Drosophila melanogaster: one gene and its partner. The protein of the gene in region 1 interacts with the protein of each later gene in a pairwise test. Each region holds a gene or a part of one and is shown on either strand. Other genes may lie near its edges.

The links.
Region 2: the proteins of CG10086 (region 1) and Ubc2 interact in a two-hybrid assay, tested with the Drosophila melanogaster proteins (2 studies listed by BioGRID).

The regions. Positions count from the first base shown.
Region 1 is NT_033777.3:7,784,373-7,796,666, reverse strand, and holds CG10086 (uncharacterized protein), read right to left. Parts: upstream 6,035-12,294; 5' UTR 5,941-6,034; coding exon 5,826-5,940; intron 4,997-5,825; coding exon 3,947-4,996; intron 3,789-3,946; coding exon 3,544-3,788; 3' UTR 3,184-3,543; downstream 1-3,183. Other genes in the region: CG2641 (uncharacterized protein), read right to left, coding at 148-419, 519-1,074, 1,448-1,797, 2,347-2,458; CG18746 (uncharacterized protein), read left to right, coding at 6,560-6,671, 6,787-6,936, 7,000-7,208, 7,359-7,953, 8,045-8,295; CG18748 (uncharacterized protein), read left to right, coding at 8,824-8,938, 9,000-9,149, 9,215-9,423, 9,484-10,066, 10,126-10,298; CG18745 (uncharacterized protein), read left to right, coding at 10,714-10,828, 11,350-11,493, 11,551-11,762, 11,830-12,294.
Region 2 is NT_033779.5:10,761,023-10,773,511, reverse strand, and holds Ubc2 (ubiquitin conjugating enzyme 2), read left to right. Parts: upstream 1-5,572; 5' UTR 5,573-5,855; intron 5,856-6,425; exon of another isoform or gene 6,426-6,499; 5' UTR 6,500-6,520; coding exon 6,521-7,121; intron 7,122-7,236; coding exon 7,237-7,321; intron 7,322-7,381; coding exon 7,382-7,394; 3' UTR 7,395-8,502; downstream 8,503-12,489. Other genes in the region: CG31869 (uncharacterized protein), read left to right, coding at 1-477; CG17127 (uncharacterized protein), read right to left, coding at 2,231-2,527; CG6724 (uncharacterized protein), read left to right, coding at 3,779-3,837, 3,898-4,564, 4,622-4,868, 4,936-5,225; CG6495 (uncharacterized protein), read right to left, coding at 8,704-9,069, 9,126-9,655, 10,421-10,796, 10,868-10,986, 11,194-11,685, 11,862-12,006. UniProt on the Drosophila melanogaster protein: Catalyzes the covalent attachment of ubiquitin to other proteins.

The DNA of each region.
Region 1 (12,294 bases):
TGACTTTCTAAACTAGAAAATTTGGTTGGATAACTTATATATATTCCTAAGATTTAGTTTCACGATAAACGGTTAAACTATGTTTATTGGTAACATCCAAAGCTAAATCAAAGTAAAATCATTTTATGAGATTATGTCTTCTTTTTTTTATGAGTTAGTGTTCCAACCGTACGATTGTGTTGGACGGTCAGTATTGTTTTGACCGACCAATGGGGCAGTGGGATCATGAGGTAGTGACAGAACGGGTACTGGTTGATTGGTAGCGAACTCTTCAGGGGGTTGAGGTGGAGCCGATGGCATGGCAAAGTTGGTGTACATGGGGTAACGCGGAATAAAGTCATCCGTGCGATTGTGCTCATCCTGATCGATGTCGATGAACCTTTCACCAAAGTTTGTGGCCTCCTCGAAGGTTGGTGGCTCTAAAAACATGAATAGTATAAGAATTATACAATGATCAAGCACCTTTAAGCATTTACAAATTCAAATGAAGAGTATCTATGATTTCGCTATATACTTACTGCACTTGTCATAACTGGGAGGCAGATCTGCGGCGGCTCCGGCAGGAGTGTCCGGCGTTTCCGGTATCCACTGTGCTGCACTGGCTGGATTCTCGGCACTTTGGATCAATGGTATGGTGCCAATTACAATCGGCACCTCAAAGTCCGAGTCCACGTGGCAGTCGCCAGTGCTGATCGTGAGGATAACTTGGTAACTAACCGAAATGATGCCTTCGGTGCGGGAAGAGGGCGGTACTGCTGGAATAGCCAGGGTTCCTTCAATTTTTTTCTTTGAGAGCCTCAAAACGCGCTCCTGCTGGCAACTTTTGTTGAGGCTGTGCTCCTTTTCGCGAGTTTTGTGGTGCGGCGTTTGAGCCTGGAATTTGTAAATCTGCTTAAGTTTCAGTTCGATCCCATTCAGATCATAGCCACTCGACTGGTTGTCAATCTCCAGAGTAAAGCGTATCTTCTGACCAGGCGCGTAACCACCGAAGGGTATTGTTAATGTCGATAGAACCGGGCCTGAACTGCAGGGCCAACAGCAAAAGTGCTTGATGTCCTCTCGGACTAGGGGCATCTGTCGAAAAAGAGTGTGCATTTATTAGTTCCTAGGAATAACTAATATTACCTAATTACTCTTATTGATATAATTTTAAAGTTTAATTAACATTTTTTTGTTTACATTTCTACAGGTTAGGATCGTAAAAAATTTATTTTTAATTTATTTAAATTTTTTATTTAGTCCCATAGCTTTGGTTTGAATGAACACACCCCTTGTTTGTTTAATAACTTCGGAATTTACGTCCATAAGGCACGCAATGTTTCTATACTTGAATGACTCGTCTAATTGTCCTTAAATATCTGTCGCAGGACAATTTAAAACTGCATTGATTTACTACCGATTAGTGCAATCTAAACTTTTAGTAAACTGTTCCTGTCCTTGGACTCACCAGCAATTGGGGGCTCATGTTGAGGTTGTAGGTCTGTATGACCGTCAGTGGCTGCTTGAAGACGTTGTTGAAGCGCCACTGGCGATCGATGACCACGGAGACCTCGTAGAAGATTTTTCCGTACTGGGCCACCACTGATGAGGGGCATTCCAGGGGCAGTGGAATGCAGAAGTTGTAGGTGTGCGTACCTGGCGGCAGATTCCCGGATCCAAAGACCGATGTCCGGGTGTACAAGTACTGCTGCTTGCCTCGGAAATACTCCGTGTAGTGCTCGGTCTTTCCACCTCTCGTCCTTGTTCGCCGCTCATCCCATCGCACCTTTGCCTCGCCCTCGAAAAGAATGTATACCTCTAATCAGAAAGTGAAAAGAGAGAGAGTGATATTTGAATATGGTTTGTATCCGAAAACGAATCTTTATATGTTGAACGTATGTGAAAGCCTTCTTCGGACTCCGAAGGAGTTGCTGTAAGTGCAGAATGAGATTACGCCAATCAAAAATGGAACTGAACATGGAAATTGATACAGAGCACTGTATCAAATACTTGTTTGCTTGTATACATACTTTTGTTATCTTTTGTAAAGCTTTCAAGTTTGTTTTTAGAATTGGCTATTTGAAAAACGCAAAAATTGATCAATGAATTTGTAGTTAGGGGCGAACTGAGCTCATCAGGGCATGCAATTTAGGATACTAGGAATTAAACATTTGAGACAATTAAAGCCACATAAATGGTCGCTAAAATCCTTCTTATATAAGAAGCAAAACACTTTATGGCGCTACAACAAACTTGTTTGTTTGCTGCATTCTATAAAACCGGCTTGGTGTTATCACAGAGTCAACAGTGATTACGCTCAAATTAAAAACATATCAGTCCATTCGCTTTTTAACGACTAAAACTCACCGTTCACAGACTTTTCGGATGTTGTTGTCAGAATGGCCCTTCCATTGACCGTCTCACCACTGTAGTAAATGGGTTCGCGGCGATCGAGCTCAAAAGAGCAGCTGGAAGGCATTTTGGAAATGCAATCTATTATTTAGTATGTGGGTGCTGGCACATATATTTCGAAATTCCAGATCTTATTCACTGGCGACGCGCAACGTGAATTTATTTAGCACCAGACAAGCGTCGCACCCGAAGTGAGAATTTAGAATGAGAATAGCCGGTCTGCAACAGCTGGGATGTCAGTGACATCATCACTTGGCGAGAGCCAAAGCTTTTCTGGTGAGCGAGCTTTTGGGGCTTCCGCTCACTAAAAAAAAAAAACAAAATTGAGAGGCATCGGATTTTGATAAACGGTTCTCTTTTTTGTTTGTTTTGTTACGAAGAATAAGGCAACAACAAATCTAAAAATTTGTAAACAAAAATCAGGTGGGTTCTGTGAAAGCTCTAGTTTAGTTGAGTTGTTATTATCGCGTTGTTATTATTTTTTGGACGAAATACGGTGAAAAAGAATCACATCAAGTTAAGTCGTCTATGGACTTAAGTCTGTGATAGTTGATTACGTTTGTTAATGATGATTTGTACTCATTTACAAACGCGCAAAAGTCCAAGAAGTTCCTGATTTTCTATCGTGGTGCGTAGCAACCAAAGGGTATCTTGACAGTCGAGAGAATGTTTGATCAGTATTAAGGCGATAAATGCATGTCCGTTTCTATGCTATATATTCTATATAATTCGGAATGGGCCGGATCAGATACCTGTTACTCAGATAGAGAGGAAGTTATACATTTTTTTTTTGCATTTTAATGGAAATTGTCAAGCAATAGAATTAGAAATTGGGAGCATGTATGCGTAAATCAAAATTTCTAGCTCTCATAAGTATTTAAACTCACGGACTGAGCTAGAAGTCCTCCACTCAATTTAATTTATAAATGAATAAATAAATTTGTAGTTCAATGCCTTCATGGACTTGGTTGTCTAGGCTATAGTCGCAATTTATCGCGTATCACCCAGTAGACACTTTTATATTCTGGGTTGTTTATCATTCCGATATACATACATATATAGTAAACATTTTGGTAAGTACACTGGCGAACCGTAAAAGAAATAAATACTGCCGAGATAAGATATAGTCGTGATTTTTCGCGATAACTGCCCTCAGATCTGCACGGGTGACTCCACTGGTTGTTTCTCCGGTTGTTGCTTCGACTGTCCAGGATCGGCAGGACGTCTGCGTCGGCGGCGCCTTTTCTTCTGGGGAGGATTTGGCGGCGGGCTCTGGAAGGTGTCCACATCGAAGACCGGATAGCGTGGAGTAAATCGGGAGGCCTCGCTGACCGTGTTCGCGTCCGTGTCCGCAATATCAGTGGTCATGAACATGGCCTGCTCGTAGGTAGGAGGAGCTATAGAAAAAATGACATAAAAAATATGGAGAATGAAGAATGAAACTATCGCCTCACAATAGCATAACAAAAATATAAAGAACATATACATAAGGGCTCTATTTAACATCTTTCATAACAAAGTCCTAGCTAGAAATATTTTGTTCTCTTGTACTCACGTAAATCTGGTACGAAATCGTCGGCGGCCTCCAACTCATCATCTCCATCCTCTGGAAGCTCGAAGTCCTCTAGATCCTCGGCCATCTCGTAGCCGGAGTTGCTGACCCCGCTTGCGGCCATCTGAGCCAGTTCCATGGCCCTTGTAGAGGTGCATGGCAAGTCGGCAGGCAGCGAACTTCCAGATGGGAAGGCGTTAGTTGGCAGGAAGTCCGGTCCGGACACCGCAGTTGCCAGGGGCACGTTGCCAATAGTCACAGGGATTATGAGCCGGGGATTAGCCATAAGCCAGTTCATAACAGCCACCACACGCACTTCGTAAGATACGCGCACCACCTTGCTTAGGTGCTCGCAGGTGGGCGCCGTTGCCGGAATCCTCAGGGTTTCCGTGTAAGTCCTCTGCGCATTATGAGCCACCGGACCGCACTCGCGCTTCACCAGCATTATCTTCTCGGATGTGGTGCGTAGCGAGGGCGTATCCGCCGTGTATGTGGCTCTCAAATGCAGCATGATCAGTAGCTTCCGACAATCGGAGCTGGAGTCATTACGCACATGGGCGTGGATCAACATGAACTGACCCGGAACATAGCCCTGCTGCTGGAGAGTGACCTTCAACTGCACGGGCTTCGTGTGCATCAGGCAAAAGTGTTCCACGGCTTCATTGCTCGCCGGTTCCCGGAGCATCTTGGTCTCCTGGTTCAAGTCCAGCAGCTTTAGCACAGTGAAGCCCACGTTGTGGGTGCGATTGGAAGCTCCTGGCTTCAAAAAGGTGACCTTGGCCAGATACCGGATGTGTCCATAGGCACCCTCGAAGGACGAGGGGCAGTGGCTGGGAATGGGGCAAGCAAAAGTGTAGGTGTACGTGCCGGCGTCCATGTTAAAGTTGCTGCCCTGCTCGGAACCCATGAGGTAAGTGGTGGAGGCTATATAGTCCTCCCGCCCGCTGTACTGGTGCTTTGATCGCTTCTTGGGGTTTTGGATTGCCACCGCCTTACCATGTCTGCGGATGCGCCACTGGGCTTGCGCATAGCCACTTATTTGCAGTTTTATTCCTAAAAGACAAGAAATATTAGAATATGTAGATCTTCAATAACATGACTTCTTAACAGAGAAATATGAGATGTGCTGACTAACATTTATAATATTTCCATAATAATACTATAATATAGGCTATAATATAGACAAAGAAATCAGTACCTTAATAAAAAAGTTAAAAAAAAATACAACGGGCTTCCTAATAAAACTAGCTCACTTTGTTTATCTCTTTGGGTTACCTCATAAGGTAGGGGTAATATTAGGATAAGATAAAACAAAAGCGAGAAGCACTGAAAGACATTTCCAAAAACAGTTAATAAAAGCGTCTTAGGGGCATTTTAAATTTAACTAATACGGAAACTGTTGACGCACACTATAAAATTATTCAAATTGTTTAAATATTTGATTTGGGCTGCAAGCACGCAGATGCAAAATGGAAATGAAATAACTTAAAGACAAAAATTAACCTTTTTTTTTTTAAATAGAAGTAGAAAACATATATTTCGAAGAATCAACAAAACTTGTTGTCCATATCACTGCAAAGCCCAGACGAAAACCGTGAGTAAGTTCCCTGGTATTTCCTCGAAAGAAAATATAATTCGTTGGGTAGATCCCCAACTATAAGTAAGGTTGTTATCGCTCCCCTTCGGCTCCAGGAATCATCAATTATCGCACATTTGGAGTGTCCGCATAGTTATCACTTAATTACCCATTTCAATGGTTTGTTGAATCTTTTGCTTTTGCCAAACCTGACATTATCCGAAGCGATAAGATACGCCGCGCTCGATAAGCGAAAGCCCCCACTAGTTTCCGTACTGTTGGGGTATCCTAGTTGGTCTTACTTACCTCGCAGTTTCTTGGTCTTGTTCAGATTGACAATCACCTTGCCGGTTATCACCTGGCCGGTGAAGTAGGTGCCGTGCTCATTCTGGTCGAACGTTATCATGCAGTTCTTCGACATGTTGGCGAATAGGTAATGGGCTTATGCCTCTCCAGAGCTTTTAGATTTGCGAGCGATCCTAACGCGCCCGCTGCTAAACACGAACTGGGCCAACTGTATTGCTAACATGGCCTGGACTCTCATTTTCAGTTTTACCGTCGGCTGGCATTATCTTATCGGCTCAACTCAGTACAAAACCCACTGCAATATTTGTCTATCTGGATAGTTGGCAACGCGGCCAGTTGAGAGAAATTCCTTCATTAATTTATTAACAACTTATGCGATAAATCAGGGACTCCATTATCCTCTATTTCTTTATTGGTACAACGCCCTATCATCGCTATCTCAACCTTGGGAAAACTGGCCCTCATCGATCAGTTCTGCCTGCCAATTTCGTACTTCTCAAATTGCTGTCACTTACATATGTAAATACTCCGATAGCAATGGTAAAAATTTGTGTTTAAATACTGAGATACCTATCGCATTGATAAGATAAAATAAAAATGTTGGCCAAATAAATGCTGCACAAAAAATAAAATAAAAATAGCCGCAGCGGGTGACTTCAGTTTGTTGGGAGCCACGACACAGACAGGGCAAAAGTTAAACAGCTCCCGGATTATCATACAAATTATTCCGCACAATGGTAATCTGTGAGATTGAGTTCTGCAATAATTCCCAAGGAATTTTTTATGCAGGCCAGTTGATTTCAGGACAGGTGGTCATTAAAACTGAGAAGGAAAAGTCAGTGAAAGGTAAGGCGCTGATTCATTTTGCTCTACTCAAAACAAACGTTACTTGCTAAAAGACTTAATTGATTTGAAGTGCAAGTGTTGCAGGGGCTTAAAATAGCTTTTATTTTTACTTCAGCTGTAATCCTTAACATCAAGGGATATGCCGAAACCCACTGGGCGGATACCGAACACGATCCGGATGATCAGTCGAATGGTGAATCATTCAACGGACATGTGGACTACTTGGCCACTAGGGCTTATCTGCACGGGTCTAGTTCCAGCATAGGTATGTTCGAAGATGATAAATCACCATAAATCTAGAGATAATGAAATCAAAGCTCCATTTCAGAGGTGCTTATTGAGCCTGGCACCAGCTCGTATAGATTCGCCTGTCAGTTGCCCATCACATGTCCCTCTTCTTTCGAGGGGACACTAGGTCGGATACGTTATCTGGTGAACGTGAGGTTCGTGCGTCCGTGGAAGTTCGATCTGAACTTTAATCGATGCTTCACTGTGATCAAAGTGATGGACCTGAACTCCGAAAGCCTAATGCTGAGGGTATGTTTCTTAGTCTCTCCACACACTATGGAATAGTCCACTGTACCATGTGTTGTACCAAAGACATTAGAATAATGTCTAATTCTAGTGTCTTTGGTTGTACCATGGTCAAGTATAAAATTTTATATTTTTATATTTTATAAATTTTAGGTACCTAGTCAAGTGGAGTCCCAGCGAACTTTCTGCTGTTTTCCCTGCCGCTCGTCGCCACTCAGTATGCGACTTTCTGTTCCACAGAGTGGCTTTGTGCCAGGACAGATCGTGCCGGTGGAGGTGATGGTCTCCAATGACAGTGGTGTAGCCGTGGAGGACATAACCGTAAAACTGACTATGGTGGTGATTTACTACAGTCAACCCCCGTCCGCGGACACCAACAAGGACCGTTTTGAGATGGTCCTGAAAACAGGCGGAGGTGTGTCGACCAAATGCCGGCAGCAGTTTACCTTCGATCTTAAGGTGCCGCCAACTCCGCCAACCTGCTTTAATCTATGCAGCATCATTCAGATCGGCTATCAGGTGGAAGCGGAGGCCAGAGTTAAAGGTTGTCATGGCGGCCAGTCCCTTCACATGCCCATAACTATTGGAAGTGTCCCGCTAACGAAGCAACTCCAAAAAGAACCAAGGACTTGGGGTGAAGTTCTGCCACCCCAGCAGCTAGATGCGAAGGCTTTGATTTTAATTGGCAGCGAACAGAATGGAGAAGCACTCGGAAGCCCCAATCCTTGGGCTGCGGATCCTTCAATTGGTGAGTAAAATAGGAGCTTTAAGGAAATTCATACAAAACTCCATATTCGAATTTAAAGATCATAATTCAAGGAATCACTTATTTATTTTAGCACCGCCGAGTTATGCTGAGGCTAAACACATCTCCCCGGATCCGCACAAGTTCTCGAAATCGAAGAAAAAGTCTCAGAAAAGAGGTGTAAAAGGATCACAAGAGAGGAAAGCTGAAACAATTGTGTTTTCACCCTTATACGCAGTCTTTGATTTGTCAAACCAAGTGGACGAAATGACTTTGAGAGCAAATGAACCCAAGACTGATGGCGGCTATGTCAATGAAGGTGTAGAAAAAAGCACTTGGCTTTAGAAGGGCTTAAAAATGAATGTACCCACTCTGTAAATAATTAATAAGTAATCGAAATACAACAGACATGACAATTACCCTGTGGTTGAACGCAAACTGCGGGAACTTTTCGTCGACCTCAGTGAGCAATATTTGCTGAGTTGTGCGATATCTTATCGATGAGTTAATATATTTATTTGAGTGAAATTGCTATCTTCAGATGCGAGAGCCTCAACTCATTTGGGGGCACTTGTTTTTACACCACAAATATAAGTATCAGCTGTTTTTGGACCTGATAATTCAGTTCTCATGTTAGCTGGTTACGAATGATCTATTTATTGTATAAAAAAATTGTAGGGGGTTTTTGGGTTTACCAATAAATAGATTTATGGGTGTACTGATAAGATAAATTACCAAAAGCTCTCCGTTGCACAAAATAAGTGGTAAGAAACTTTTTAGTTCAGTTTGATTGCGGCAATTGAAGGGAAAACATCTTAACAATTAACGACAGACTTAAATTCATTAAAACTTGTGCTTTAACCATAAAAAACCATGGGAATAATTTGCCAAATTCTTTTTCACAACAACACGCAAGGGGTTTTTTACGCGGGCCAAATGGTTGCTGGTCAAGTGACTCTGAGCACTGATAAGGCGATTCAAATCAAAGGTAAGTACTCAGTTGTGATTGCGATACTTCATATAATTCTCGCAACATTTTACATATTAAGCAATTCGACTTAAGCTAAAAGGTTATGCAGAGACCCATTGGACCGAAAGCAAGACTGATTCGAATAACAAGTCCACTTCAGAGTCGTACAATGGATTTGAGAAATACCTTTCCAGTAAAGTTTATCTTTTGGGTTCCGAAATTAGCCCTGGTAAAATATTGAGTGATAATTTGTTATTGAAATTGGTCAAAATTTCATTTTATGTATTCGCAAAGAAATGGCTTTGGAGCCGGGAACTAGGTCCTACAATTTTGCTTGTCCAATTCCAATCAATTGTCCCTCATCGTTCGAGGGGACTCATGGTCGTATACGTTATATGGTGGATGTCAATATCATTCAGCCGTGGAAGTACGACAGCATTTTCTCAAGAGCTTTCACCGTTATTCAAGTGATGGACATAAACACCTATAACTCTGTTTCACAGGTAAATATAACATGAAACGAAATTTTGGAGGTCTGCTATAACAATGTAATCGCTTTTAAGGTTCCCGTGCAGGCCAAGACTGAGAAAACCTTTGGGGTCTGGCCCTTCCGATCGGATCCTCTAACGCTGGAGCTGAATTTGCCGCAGACTGGCTTTGTGCCTGGTCAGACGGTACCCGCAAATGTTCTGATTGGTAACGAAAGCAAAATTCGGGTGCACGAAGTGAAGGTTGGACTATCAATGATGATCACCTACTACAGTGATCTAAGTTCAGGTTCCAAGTGCGAGCGCAAGTCCGTGGCCAAGTTAAAGGCAGATGGAGTTTTGAGGAACTCCCGGAAAATGTACGACTTCCAACTGATGATACCCTCTACTCCGCCTTCATGTTTCCATCTGTGCCGCATTATCAAGATCGGATACCAGATCGAGGTTGTGGCCAAGGTGAAGGGCATGCATATCAATGGAACTCTGATAATGCCGGTGACTATTTGTGGTGTTCCGATATCGCCGTCAGCGGTGCAATATACGCCGCAGAGCTCTGGGCCAGAGGCTCCAGAACAAAGAGCTTTGACTTTGATTGAGGGAGAGGGAGCTTTTGCTCCAGCTGCTCCCCCATATCCCTGGTCAGAAGGATCCACACTATGTAAGCTGTCCTTGTTTTAATATGTCCATATCAATTATGTAACCATACGATTTTTATAGCGCCACCGAACTACGCCGAGGCCATGCATTCCCATAGTGACTCTGAGAAACAGTCAGAGTCGGGAAATGCGCAAGAGAAGTCTTACAAGCCGTTGTATCCTGTCTTCGATTTGTCTACTTCAACTGTAGAAAAGAGCAAGGAAGCGGCTTTGGATAAAGAGGAAAAGAAATGAAGGCGGGCGAAAAAACTATTCTACATTTGAGAACCATTGGACATCCCATCCCACGCCTGCTTGTCAAGAAGTCCTTGGGATTTTTCCGGAGATATGAGGGCTATTTGCTGCTCGACTGCATTTGGCAAAATGTATAATTCAAAATTGTGACAGCGATAAGATAAAGTTTTTCTGGCCATCGCTACCAATATAGAACAACCGCAATGTTTGTTTTATTCTCAGTTGATTTCTGGCAGCCAAGTGGGCATGTGGGTGCTATCGTCGCGAAAAGCGGTTCCTTCCACTCTGTCTGGAGTTCTCGGAATTTAGGGAGTAAATAACTGAACATTGGCATTAAAATCAAATCAGTCGTGTTTGCAGCGGCATCAGAGTAGGATCGGCCCATAAATACACGATTGCGGTTACAATTACAATTATGACTGTTACCTGTGAAATTGATTTCGATAACAATCCCCATGGCACCTACTTTGGGGGCGAGGTACTCACTGGCAGAGTTACGTTGAAGCTGGACAAGATGAAGTTGGTAAAAGGTGAGGGGCAGTTGATTTGAGATACCTTTGGAATTTGACAATATGCCATGAGTCATTCTTATCTTATCGTCCAACTTAAAAGTGCGGTTGAATGTTTTTAAACGAAGATTTAGTCCGGTGACTCATATATTTATAGTGAGTAGAGAACCACACGTGCGAAATCTAATGTCTACATGAAGGTGTTTGGCGAACATACACAAATGCATCAATGATAATATTTGCGTTCGATAAGATTAAATTATTTTTAAATAATCAATGGGTTTCGCATTAATTAATATTAAATAGGGGTGGATACATATTTGACTTTTTCATATATACAACGATTGCTTTTGTAAGTTTTTATGGATATTTCATGTGAATGCATAACAGTAATTCTGTATGATTAAAAGATTTTAATTTGTCAAAACCATAATCATCGTTTAGATGACTTAAAAAACAATTAAAGAATAAATTCAATTCGTTACAGTACATTGAGCTAAAATACCTTTCTAAGAAATACCTTATCAACTTCTTCTCCGCAGCCATCACCTTGAATATAACCGGATACGCAGAGACGCGTTGGATTGAAAGGGTGACCACAAACAGAAGGAGGAGACGTCGCACATTCTGCGGCCGCGAGGATTACATAGCGTCCAAAACATTTTTGGTGGGATCCAATCTGAGCAGTACGTAAAGCTCCATTTAGGCAAGAAAGTCCATCTAATTGCTAATCATATCTGCAGGCCAAGTATCCATTGAAGCGGGAATTCACACTTACAACTTCGTGTGCCTGATTCCCACCGAATGTCCTTCGTCCTTCGAGGGATCACACGGCAGGGTGCGGTACATGGCAACCGTAACCCTCGTCAGGCCCTGGAAATTCGATCAGAGCTATACCCGATGCTTTACGGTGCTAAAAGTGATGGACTTGAACTTCGATAGTCCACTGCTAAGGGTACGAATCAAAATCAAACACGAATACATATCTGTTAGAACCTAAGCTAATTGAATATGTTATGTAGGTACCCGCCCACAGTGAAACCTCGAAGACCTACTGCTGCTGGCCTTGCCGATCAGATCCGTTGGCCCTCCAACTGACCGTTCCACAGACAGGATTTGTACCTGGCCAGAATGTTCCCCTTAGCGTGCTGGTCACAAACGATAGCCACATTCCGGTGGAGCAGCTCCTCATTAGTTTTGTGATGCTGGTGACATACCACAGTAAGCCACCTTCGATGCCCAATACCACGTCCGAGAGGTTGGTGGTAAACACCTTCAAGGGGGACGCTGTGCAAAGGAACTGCAAGAAGCTATTTAGCTATGAGATCAGAGTCCCGGCCACTCCGCCCACCTGCTTCAACCTGTGCGGCATCATCCAGATCGCCTACCAAGTGGAGGTGGAGGCCAGGGTGAAGGGTTGCCACAACAACGAGGTTGTCACCATTCCGCTGACCATTGGCAGTGTCCCTCTTGCACAACACGTACCA
Region 2 (12,489 bases), on another chromosome or scaffold:
GGCAGCGGAAGTGGTGGTGGCGACATCGATCTCTACCAGGATAAGTCTTCTACCACCGAGGAAATGATGGCGTCCGGCTCATCCATTCACGAGAAGAGCTCCCTGGTGCCACTGCTGATGTACAGTGGCGAGGATATATCCGGGGAGACGCGCATCCAGAACGGCAGCGATCTGCAGCTGGAGAAGATCAGCCAGGGTGAGGAGGTTGAGCTTGGCAGTGGGGAAATCAGGGAGCCCGTCACCCCCAAAACCAATGCCGTATCCACGCTGGAGATCGATGAACTGGGCTCGGGAGCGGGCCAGGTGGGCGGTGTGGATCCCAAGGCCGATGCCAAGAGCCTGAAGCTGGACGAGAGCCAGGAAACGGTGGCCAGGACCAGTGCCAGTGGACTGGACAAATCGTCGGCGAGGGCCGAGAAGAGCTTTGTGGAGCGGGCCCTGCCATTGGGGCGTCTATACCTCCAGCGCATCTACTGAGGATCGCCGCCTGGAGTGGCTCTACTTGACATATTTAACCCTTTTATTGTACATACGGACACCATGGGGCCTAGTGGCCTGCAAAGCAGCGAATATCCAACCATTCAAGTGAGCAGAATGGCGGCAGATTGTTAGGTTTAAGTAGCCAGAAGAAAGGGGAAGAAGATTCCATTATCATTTCCATAGACTGCATAGAACGACCTTTGAATTTATCAACTTTACGAACGTAATCATTAACTAACTAATGTATGATTAGCAGATTAGCAAAGCTGGGCTCCCCAAATGCAATAACGAAATGTTTCCATTATCTGGCAATCCATATTGCTTAGTTATACTTCTAATTTATACGTACTGAGCTAAGTGCACTGAAAACAAAATCAACCATTGTCCCCCACATTTGAAAATCATCGAATAAGTCGCAACATAAACGAAGGAGAAATTATTTAACTTGTTTTATCCCATCATGATTTTATTTAATTTGTAATTTATTTCATAACGAATGCAAATGATTTTGAGAAATGGTTTAATGCAATGGCCAACTGTGTAGTCCTCTTTGAATTGAAAAGCTTTTAAGTTTAGACTGAATATGGCAAAGTTTTAATTTAAAGCAATTTACTCCTACTTTAACCATAATTTATATACAATTTAAACTAATTTTACTTTGACATTGAGTCTTGATAATTATCGTTGGATTTTCCTAGAAAGGAAAATCAAAAGCTCGAGTGAATTTCAAAGCTGACGAGCGGAGAAAAGTGTCAAAATGAAAACGCAGTCATTCTTTAGTTAGTACGTACGAGTATAATAAATAATTAATTACCTATATGAACATAATTTATTTAGGCGATGATCGTGCACACTATCACTCACACACATACCACACAGAATTTTTGAGATAATTAAAATATATTATGAAAATACTTTAACTAGCGTAAATTTAGATTGAAGCTCATTTAACAATGTATGAAGTACGAAATAAAAATGAGGTAATTCTAAACACACAAGATAAAAGTTTTAAGTGGTTCATATCATATTTGGGAATATTTATTACCACAAATGATGCAAAAATCAGGGCCCTATAAAATACCCTACGATCATCGGACCCACCCAGATGTTATGCAAGCAGCCCCTCTGTACCTGCGGGCATGCCACGCCCCCTCCACGTACAACTCATTACACATGCAAGTGCATGTGGCGGCAATTACCAGAAATTAAATAAACAAACCGAAGCCCAGCAAAAAGCAACAAAATACAAAATACAAAAAAAAATAAATAAAAGTCCGAGGAAAACAATCACGACGACAACTGTTGCATCACGACCGCAGCACAAAAGTTGCCGGCGGGGCAACCACTCGGGTTACCAGCGACTCCATCGCCATTCCCATCCCCGGGTTACGTAACAAGGTTGAGGATAGGATACCATGCCATGCGATAGCAATGTGCCGACTTTTATTGTTAATTCGTATGCGCAGCGGGATCAGCGAGGAGAAAGTCGGCGAAGATCGTTAGGAAAAAGCCACAAATCAAACCAATAAATCACTCGTTTCGATTCGAGAGTTCGTTTGCAGAGGAACCAACTGGTTTTCGGGGAGGATCACTTTCGCTTTTAATATTTTTTTCGGATTTTTTTTTCCAATTGTTTTGGGTGGTAAATAAACGCTGCGATTAAATACTTGTAATGTTTTCGTTTTATTAGTGAGAAACTTAACAATGAGGACGAAATGCAATGAGCTAACCAAGGAAGTGGTCCTACGACTTAGTTGCGACCGATCTGGTCGACCTGGGACTGCAGGTTGTTTATCACCTCGGAGGGCACCTGGTCGCCGAGGATCTCGAAGAGATTGATGCGCTGGTTGCCGGGTATCTGCTCGTACGCGCCCAGCTCGATGCCCTCCTGCACGTTCTGGATCTGGGCATCCTTGGGGATGAGAAGCGTCTGCTGCGCCTGCCGGATCGCCTCGTTCGTGTAGGCGGCACCCTCGCGATTCTGGGGCAGGGATTGGGCACCAGCCAGGAGCAGGGCGAGCATCGAACACAGCGCGAACACTTTCATTTTGTGGGTTTTCTCGAGGGGATTCAACTGCAAGAGATGCACGGATTCAGTGGCGCTCGATGCGGACTGGATTTGGTTATGGTCTTACCTTGCGCGCGTCGTTTGTTGTAATGTTTCGGCTGCGCAGGCGCAATGCCCGTTTTATAAGCTGAGCTGCGCCGCTGGAAGCCCCGAAAATCTGGAAAGCTTTAACTCTTTCATTTCGCTTCGTTTCTGGTTTTTTGTAAAGCCAAAATGGTGGCACAAAGTAGTAGTACCGAAAAAAAGTGTTATTACTTCCCAGCTTAATATCCCCATCGACCCATTAAGGTGAATACATTTTTTATTGGAAATTTTTTATTTTCTTGGGCATTTGTCCAATTTTGATGCGAAGGTTAAGCGCCACTTCAGAAATGTCAAGTGGCATTTAACCTTCCAGTGAACACTCGGCCGCAAAGTGGTCTTTCAGGTGCTATCTGGTTCATATTAATAGCCTGAACGTAAAATATTAACAATTACCAGTCTTTGAAGATTGAAGAGTCATTTACAAATTGCCGCCGCGGCTGTGCATTTTTTGGTTTCTTATTTTTCCATTTTGCGTAAGACGATCAAAAGGAAGAGAAGCAGTTAGTGGCTAAATTACAGCAAATCATCTGCGCCTGATTTGCTTGCAAAAAATATTTAATTATCAGTATTGCGAATTGGCTCGTATCTCTGTAAGATTTTTTTGTAATAAAAAAAAGGAGAAACGACAAAGCAGTGGTTATGCAATCAGCGGTTTTTCGAATTTGATGAGTAATATTTTAGAGAAACAAAATCAAAGTGATTAGAAATACCATACACTCTATTAATATCTTTTTATTTGTTAAAGTAATCGGCAAATTACACTTAAGCAAGCTATTATAATTATGCATAGTTTTAACGCACCAAAAAATTTGAATTTAAAAACTCCGCTTAGTAGTAACGGGTGATAACAAGACGATAAGGCATTTCGATAAGAGCACAGCGATAGCAATGCGATAACTCTTATTCCGGCATGCGCTTCGGCGTTTTTTAGTGTTTTTGCATGTATTTGTTGCATTTACCATCGTTCGTTTAAAAACACGCTTCTTTTCAATTTAATTTTACACAACGATCTCCCGAAGGAAGAACCTCTAGTTTAGTGGTCAACACCTTGTACCACCTGCAGGAGTTAAGTCATAACCGTAGCAAACACACGCGGGAACACCCCAATCCCAATCCAGCCAAAAAGAAACGCACGTGGGCCAGGAGATGGATGTGGATAACGGCGAGGGGCAGGTGCAGGTGCACCTGAAGACCAAGCAGGAGCAGTGAGTGTCCATCTAGAATCTCTATCAGTAGAAGATTTTAATCAAGATACCCTATTTCAGCTATGCCGTGCCTGATGTGCCCTATGCCATCGATGGCACCGTCACCACCGTGGAGCTAAACACATTCGTGAACGCACTGTTGCGTCAAAAAGATGGCTCTTCCGACACGGACTTCGACTTCCTGGTGTTCGATGAGTACCTGCGTGGCCGGCTGTGCGATCACCTGCGCGAGAAAGCCATCAGTTTCGAGGACGCCATCGAGATCGAGTATGTGGAGCGGTTCCCGGCGCCAGAGCCACAGGATTGCCTGCTGCACGACGACTGGGTGTCCGCGGTGAAGGCTAGAGGAAAGTGGATCCTCTCCGGGTGCTACGACAACACCCTGAATTTGTGGACCAACAAAGGCAAGCACATTCTCACTATTTCTGGTCACACGGCGCCCATCAAGGCGGTGGACTGGATATCGCTGGACGAGGAGACGGGACGTTTTGTGTCCACATCGCAGGATCAGACCGCCATGCTGTGGCAGTGGAACGTGGGCTCCAACTCGGTGGAATGTGTCTCCGTGTGCAAGGGCCACGAGCGAGGCGTCGACAGTGTCAGCGTGAGTCCGGATGGTCTGAGATTTGCCACGGGCTCTTGGGACACGATGTTGAAGGTGTGGTCAGCAGAGCTGGACGATGCAGTCGAGGGCAGCTCAAAGCGGATGAAAGAGAGCGGTGTGAGAGTGAGTAGTCTTGCCATTTATAATTAGACTTGTAATCAGCTTTACAATTCCTTTCAGACCCCCAAAATTACGCTGCAGGGACATCGTGAGAGCGTATCAGCCGTGCAGTGGATGGATGCTACCACTCTGCTAACTGGCAGCTGGGATCACACACTCAAGGTGTGGGATCTGAGTCTTGAGGGCATCAAGACCGAAATATCCACCAACAAGTCCATATTCGATGCGAGCTACTCAAAGCTGAATCGGCTGATACTGACTGCTTCGGCGGACAAGAATCTGCGGCTCTATGATCCTAGGACAAACCGTAAGATCTAATACTCCAATATCAACAATGGAACTTCCACCTAACCAATATAATTCGGATCTTTCAGAGGGATCAGTGGTAAGGAATACCTATCTGGGACACAATGCCTGGGTGCAGACCGTCATGTGGTCCACCACGGAGGAGTTCCTATTTGTCTCCGGCGCTTATGACAACCAGAACAAGCTGTGGGACTGCAGGAGTCCCAAGGCCCCACTGTACGATCTTCTGGGTCACGGTGAAAAGGTCCTGGACATCGACTGGTCCAATCCCAAGTACATTGTATCTGGTGGTGTCGACAACACGGTGCGCGTATTCAAATCTCGCAAGGCGCTAGCGGAAGAAGCGGAGACGAAGTAATCCCAAAACTTGTAAACTTTTTATAAATACAAAACTAGTTTAAACTTTAAAGTAAATATTGAAAGATTTTACATCTGGGGTGTTACACTTAAATTATCGAAGTGGGTGAAGCAGAGAGGTATTCAAAGTGTATTATACATGGTGTAAATATTCTTGTTTTTTATTTCATTTACGAAATAGTTAGATTTCAATACTTGAATATTATTTTTATGGTATCCGCTTCCGAGTTGCCACAGTGCTAGAAAAGGCAAAAAACGGTTGCCAGAAGCCGAACATCGATAGTTCGCTAAGGATGAGCGGACAGCGCGAGCACCTAGAGACGGACCCGGACCGATAGCTGGCTACAAACATACAAATTATCGAGTTTCTAACAAAGATAAAGTCGGCTCTGCGTCGCCTCGTAATTTGCCAACTGTAATTTAGCGAAATAACAACGATCGCGACCGTGAGCCGCCGAGGAGTTTGGAGCGCCGACACTGCCACCCACCAAGGACGCCAGCGGAACAGCCGTGCATCCACTGCGAAGGCCGTGTGCGCGAGAGTGCGAGCGAGAGGGCAGCAGGCGACACAGGGAGAATCATTTTCGCAAGTGTTGTGATAGAAAAAAGTGAAAGAAACTGCAATAGTGAGGTGTGTATAGTGCTTCACGGGCTGGTCCCAAGATAGACCCCACCTAATCAGCGTCCAAATTCCGCGAAATTGTGCAATCGAGCTGCAGGCGGCGGAGTCAGCACCGTCATCATCATCCTCCGCCGTCGGCGGCGGCATTTTGCAAATGTCTGCTGATTGATTTTTTGCGGCATCCAGCACATGCTCTCGAAACTTTGGGGGCAAATGCTTGTCCAGCTATCACCTAATCCTGTCCAGCATCCACTGGCCTGACAACGAATCCCATGCAAAACCCACTTTTTACTGTCGGGGGTTTGCCAAAATGGCCGCTGCTCAATAGAAATGCGTGCGTTTGTGCGAAAAAAAGCAAACCCCTGTCATCATAAAGGGGCACAAACTGGGTGGAAAACCAGGTCAAGGACCCTGGGGAAGCCCCGTCCAAGATTCGCGTATAATTGCCGACTCCACTGGCCATACTTTTCACATCAACTACATTCGTACGCACAAAGTGCAGGCAAGAAGGGATTTCCCTTTAAAAATAAATGTGAATCCCAAGTAGGCTTTGGCTTCATATTTCACCAGTTTTCTATGGAAATTCCCTGCTGAACATAGTGGATCGTTTACATAAACCATTATCTAACCAAACATCAAAATACTCATTTCAGTTCGAAGAAACGAGACCAAAAATGTCTTCAACCCCAGCAGCGGGCAGTGCCGCCGAGGTGGCCACCTCCAGTGCCACCTCAAATGCGCCCAGTGCACCCAGCACAACGGCCAGCAACGTGAGCAATACCAGCCAGCCGACGACTGCCGGAACTCCGCAGGCACGTGGCGGCAGGGGCAGCAACGCCAACGGTGGTGCCTCCGGGAGCAATGCCGGTGGCGGAGATGAGCCGCGAAAGGAAGCCAAAACAACGCCCAGGATATCCAGGGCGCTGGGCACCTCGGCCAAGCGCATACAGAAGGAGCTGGCTGAGATCACACTGGACCCACCGCCCAACTGCAGTGCCGGGCCCAAGGGCGACAACCTGTACGAGTGGGTATCCACCATACTGGGACCACCCGGATCCGTCTACGAGGGCGGCGTCTTCTTCCTCGACATACACTTCTCGCCGGAGTATCCCTTCAAGCCACCCAAAGTCACGTTCCGCACGCGCATCTATCACTGCAACATCAACAGCCAGGGCGTCATTTGCCTGGACATACTCAAGGACAACTGGTCGCCGGCGCTGACCATATCAAAGGTCTTGCTGTCAATTTGCTCCCTGCTCACAGACTGTAATCCAGGTGAGACTTATTTTTTTTAGACTTTGATATACAGTGTCGTGTTCTCCACTTTGATTTAACTTTTCCTAGGACTGTAGTAAATATGATCTCATGTTTATATCATGTGTCTTTACAGCCGATCCGCTGGTGGGCAGCATTGCCACGCAATATTTGCAGAATCGTGAGGAGCACGATCGAATTGCGCGTCTCTGGACAAAAAGGTGAGTTGTCGCTGGAAAAGCGAGTAAACAAACTTAGTAATCTGTGTGCTTGTCTTTTAGGTACGCAACATGATGCGTAAGTTTTGGCAACGTGCATGTACCACAAACCGAAAACTGCAACAACAGAAACGAAAATTCGCATCTTGCAACGGAGAAAGTCTATTTTATAAATATATATTAAAGTACGATAACTACTAAATTAACAGTAACAACTACCGTAACACGAAAAGCAACCGCCAACAGCCAGTCGATCCAATCCAATCTAAATTCAGTCTATATTTATATCACGTTAATACAGAAGTTGTAAAAAAAAAAAAACATTTGGAGATTTCTTGAGTTGTATTTTTCGGAAACTAGTTTTGTTTTTAATTCGCTTAGCAACCGAAAACATTGTAACGAGTCACATTCGATGAAAAACTGCATCATGAATTGCACATTGACATATTAAACTATAAACTATTCAACTGCATAATAAATATAAATACAATTAGTTTACATTATATGTGTACAGTGTTAAGTGAAAATGGAGCTAAACGAGTAAAGAGAAAAGCCTATTTTAATGCGTAATGCGTAATATTAATGCAACCAATGTCAGGGCAGTAAACTTCGTAAAAGATGATTTTCATTCAAAAAAAAAAAAAAAAACTGGCCACAGCAAGGAAAATTCTCAACAACAAAAGACTAAAAATGAAGTGGTAAACGAAAAACGAAATAAATCTATGTATACAAAACTTAAGACAACCTATTCCAAATTCCAAAACAAAATTAAATAAATTTGTGTTATTTATATATGAAATCGGATTCGGTTTGATTTTTTAATGTGATATTTTTAAGCGTTCGAAATTTGTTTTTTTGGTCAAATACTACCTTTCACTAATAATGATTTTAGACTTGAACATTAAAAAGGCTCCACCACAGCGAAATTTGTTATTTTAAAGAAAGGCAATTACGAGTATAGTGCTGATATATAAAGGAAAAGAAAAGAAAAAAAGAATATAAATAAAAACCAACTTCCTACTATTTTGTAGTTTTAATGACTAAACCAGTCATCGTCGTCACTTCATTGAAAAAAAAACTGAGAACAAGATTTCGTAACAAAGTAATTGTAAGTTTTTTTCGTAACCAAAACAAAACTGAAATCGCAAATGGAAAGGAACTTAAATAAAAAATATTATAAAATTACTTTTCGACTCATTAATCGGTCCACAGGTAAGGCGATCGCTATGTTTAAGTTTTAGTTTTATTTGATATATCTTTGTTTATATAAAATACGTTTTTCATTACACAATTAATCGTAAATATATATATCCTCACGCTTCCCCGCACGTGGAACAACACAACGAATCTTGGCTAGCCCCCGACCTAATCCGCAGGCAACCGGCTTACAGATACATGCCGTTGACCAGGAAGTCCGCCTCCTGTGAGTAGGGCGTCTTGCCGCCCAGTCGTCGTGCCCTCCGCGTCACCGTCCGCATCCTGCACCCGATAAGAATGGCCAGCGCAGCGGTGACCAGCAGGCCCAGAGTCAGCGAGAGGACCGCCCCGCCAGGTCGCTCCGAGTGACCGTCGTGATCGCGGAACTCCATCGCCAGGTTGTCATGGATCATCTTGTACTGCTCGTGGACGGGGGAAGCGGGAACCGGCAGGGCTGGAAGGGATCCCTCCGGTTGCAACTTGTTTTGCTCCAGGGCAAGTTCAATGGGATCCTTGGCCGTCTTCGTCTTGACCTTCTTGTGTTTGTGCTGCTTCTGTGGTTTTAAAATGAATGGTTAATCTTAATCTATATTCATTCATCAGATCTTACCTTTTTTGGTGCCTCCGTGTACGTTTCCTCATCGTAATCATCGTAGTCCCCATCTGCCGCTGGACCCTGATTTTTCCCAGCTACGGGTGCTGCATTTAGGACTGGCAACATGGCTTGCTGCGCAGCTGGCGGAGATTGGATGGCCGGAGCAGCGGCGGCATAGACATGACCAGATTGCTGGGGCATCAGGGACTGCGACTGCTGCACGGGCGACTGTTGCTGCGGAATTAATGGAGCCTGCTGTGGCCACACCACACTCGCTTGCACCTGCTGCTGCTGTTGGCCAGCTGGAGCCTGGAGTTGCGCCGGCTGCTGTGGCATGTAGATTCCTGTGCGTGACATCCCGTATACAGCCTGGTTGGCCTCGTAGCCGGGCAGTTGCAGCGTTGGGGATTGCCCCTGAACCTGAACCTGACCTGCTCCCGCCATCTGACCCGGAACCTGGAGTGGCGACGGCGGTGGACCCTGTCCGTTTGCGGGCTGCTGCAGCTGGAGGCCGCCTTTATGGCTAAATATGTGGCTCTGTGCGTCTGTAAGAAAGCGGAGGCGAAGGCGTCACTAGGAAGCATGAAGTGTGTGTATCCCGGTTAACGCACAGCTAATTGAATTAATTACGCGCAGACAGAGGCACTGCACGCATAGGGCACAAGCATTCGTAAATCAATTTCGAGCGACGGCAGCTCCCATTTCACACAATGAAAACTGATGGGCTATTTGCGATTTTCCCAGCAGAAAAGCCCTCCGGAACAAGGGAGCGAGTGTGTCGTGGCCAAGTGGCCATGGCAGTGGGATCATTGCGTGCACTGTGCCGGCCATTTGTGTGCTAATGTCGCACTGGAGCGCCGTAGCCTCCGGGTATCACTCCCCATTCCCTGTCCTCATAAATATTTACTCAGCTTTTAGTTTTTGTTGGGCTGGAGTGCCTGGCTAGAACTAATTGCTCCTGGACACTCAATCGAGTTTAATTAACAACTTAATGCAACTTAGTGCAGTGCTGCAGCAGCTTTACTGGGTTGTGAGGCATAAAATAAAATAAATTATATAAAAAAAATGAAGAAAAGCCCTGTATGATTGCCAATCATAAGTTTGTTAGCGTTGAAGATTCTATAGATAAGACAGATATCATCAATTGGGAACTACATCGTATACTACAGCTGCAAAAGTTTCATTTCCTAAACTTTGTTGTGTTAATAATCATTAAATCTAATCTTTGACACATCATATGCTTTTAATACATCCTATCAACTAACTTCTAATCTTAACTATATTTTCCTAGACCCCTTATCTATACTAACCCGTGTTGATGATCTCCGTCTTTGGCTGCGATGATTGTTGCTGCTGTTGCTGTTGCAGTTGCTGCTGCGGCAGCTGCTGCTGCCCTTCGGCAATCATCTTGCGGTTGGCCCAGGCAGCGGCATCTTCACGATTGTTCACCATGGGCGGTGGAGGCGGCGGTGGCGGTGGTGGTCCCAAAACAATGACATGTTGTGGTTGCTGCTGCGGCTGTTGCTGTTGCTGCTGCGGTTGCTGCTGCTGCATCTGCTGGGCCACGACCTGCTGTGTCTGTTGCACGTTCTGCACGGGCACATACTGCGACACCATCGGCTTCACGGGCTCCAAATTGCTGCTGGTAGTGGCCGGTTTTGTGGCCGTCGACAGCACGATGTTGCACTGAAAATGGGGTTAGCAATTAACGGTTGAGGGAGTGTGTGTATTTGGCTGGAGGTGAAAGTGCAACTCACTTCCGGTCCCTCGTCGCTGCCATCCTCGCACTGGGGTATTCCATCGCAGGCATTGTACACCGCGATGCACTCGCCGGAGTGGCAGGTGAACTGGAAGCGTCCACAATGCGCGGCGGGAACTGAAAAAGTGGTTACGTTAGTTTCTCGAAGGGGAACAATTTTAAATAGTAGGTAATCAATCGTAGGAATTTTTAGATAATATTTTTAGTTTAAGATTGATTTAGATTTTAAATTCAAATTGTTCTTATATATATTCTAAGCTTCAAATCGCATATACCCGTGATTTCTATAAAGTACAAGGTATCGAAAACCCGACCACAACTCACCACTTTGCGATTGGTAAACTGGCGACTGGCCCACTCCCAGACCCACTCCCGTTCCCGTTCCCGTTCCCGATGTGGGAGCCACCACTGCGGCGGTGGAAACAGTGGGCTTGTCGCGCGCTTCCGGCTTTAGCTTCAGGTTGCTCAGCTCCCATTCCTGCTGCGACACATTGTTGCTGGGGATGTGGGGCAACTGCGGACGCGGTGTGGTCACCAGCTCACCGACTGGCTTTGGCTGTGGATTCAGCACGGCACTCGTGTAGTTGGCGTGCCTGGTGAACTTGCAGCGGAAATCCTCCGGAGGACCGCACTCGAAGAGGTAGCAATAGCCACCCGCCTTCCGCTCGAAGATGTACACATCGCAGGCGTCCGTCTCGCAGCACAGCCTTTCGCATTCCTCGATGGTGTCCAGCTCAATGCCCTGGAGGTACTTGCCACCAATCGCCTGCGACTCTCCCGTGCGAATAATGGTGTTCTTATGCACATCAAAATGACCTGTGGGCAGAAGTCGAAAGAAACTCCAAAAGTTCGTAAATGCTCTTGTGTTGAAGTTTGTGGTCTTCTATATTATTAGGTGATTATTGAGTTATTATGGCCAAAGACACACAAACAAAAGACTAAAACTAATTACCAACCATAAAGCTGGATGTGGCTAACGAATTTGGTCTCACCTATGCACACCTCCAGATCCATGCGTTTGCTAAGCCGGTGCTCCGCCGGCGAAGATTGCAGGTACTCCAGGTACTTCACCTGCTCCGCGGTGGCTGCTGCTTCCGCGATCATCAGCAGGAAAGGCAACGCCAAGTTGGCAATCATTTCGCTGGCTAATGGTTATTTTTGCGGTTTTTCGAACGCGACTGGGCCTTTTCACTTCGGGCAGCTGGCGGTCACAGTTCACTTGGGGATTTCGGGGTTGGAAAGGCCGAGAAAGCGAAAGAGGCTTGTCCGAGGGCTTGCCGTGTTTACAATTTGAACACGCCTATTGATTTTTGGCCTTTTTGCGGGCTGCAAAAAAGAATCACCACAACACGCGTTCCTTCAATTTACACTTGAGCACGCAAATATCAGTTTATGATATGCGCTTTTCCATTATTTCGATGATTATTTTGATTTTTCGCTTGGTTTTCTCTGGATTTTGTGGCAAATACACGATGGCTGGCGAAATGTAAACCAATGGAAGTCGTTCGGAAAACTGGGAAACCCTCCACGAGCAGCTTTTTCACCCCCAGCTACATGGAGCTTTCCTTATCAGCTGTTCGTGGTGGGTGTTTTGGTATCGATAGCTATTCCAACATCCCC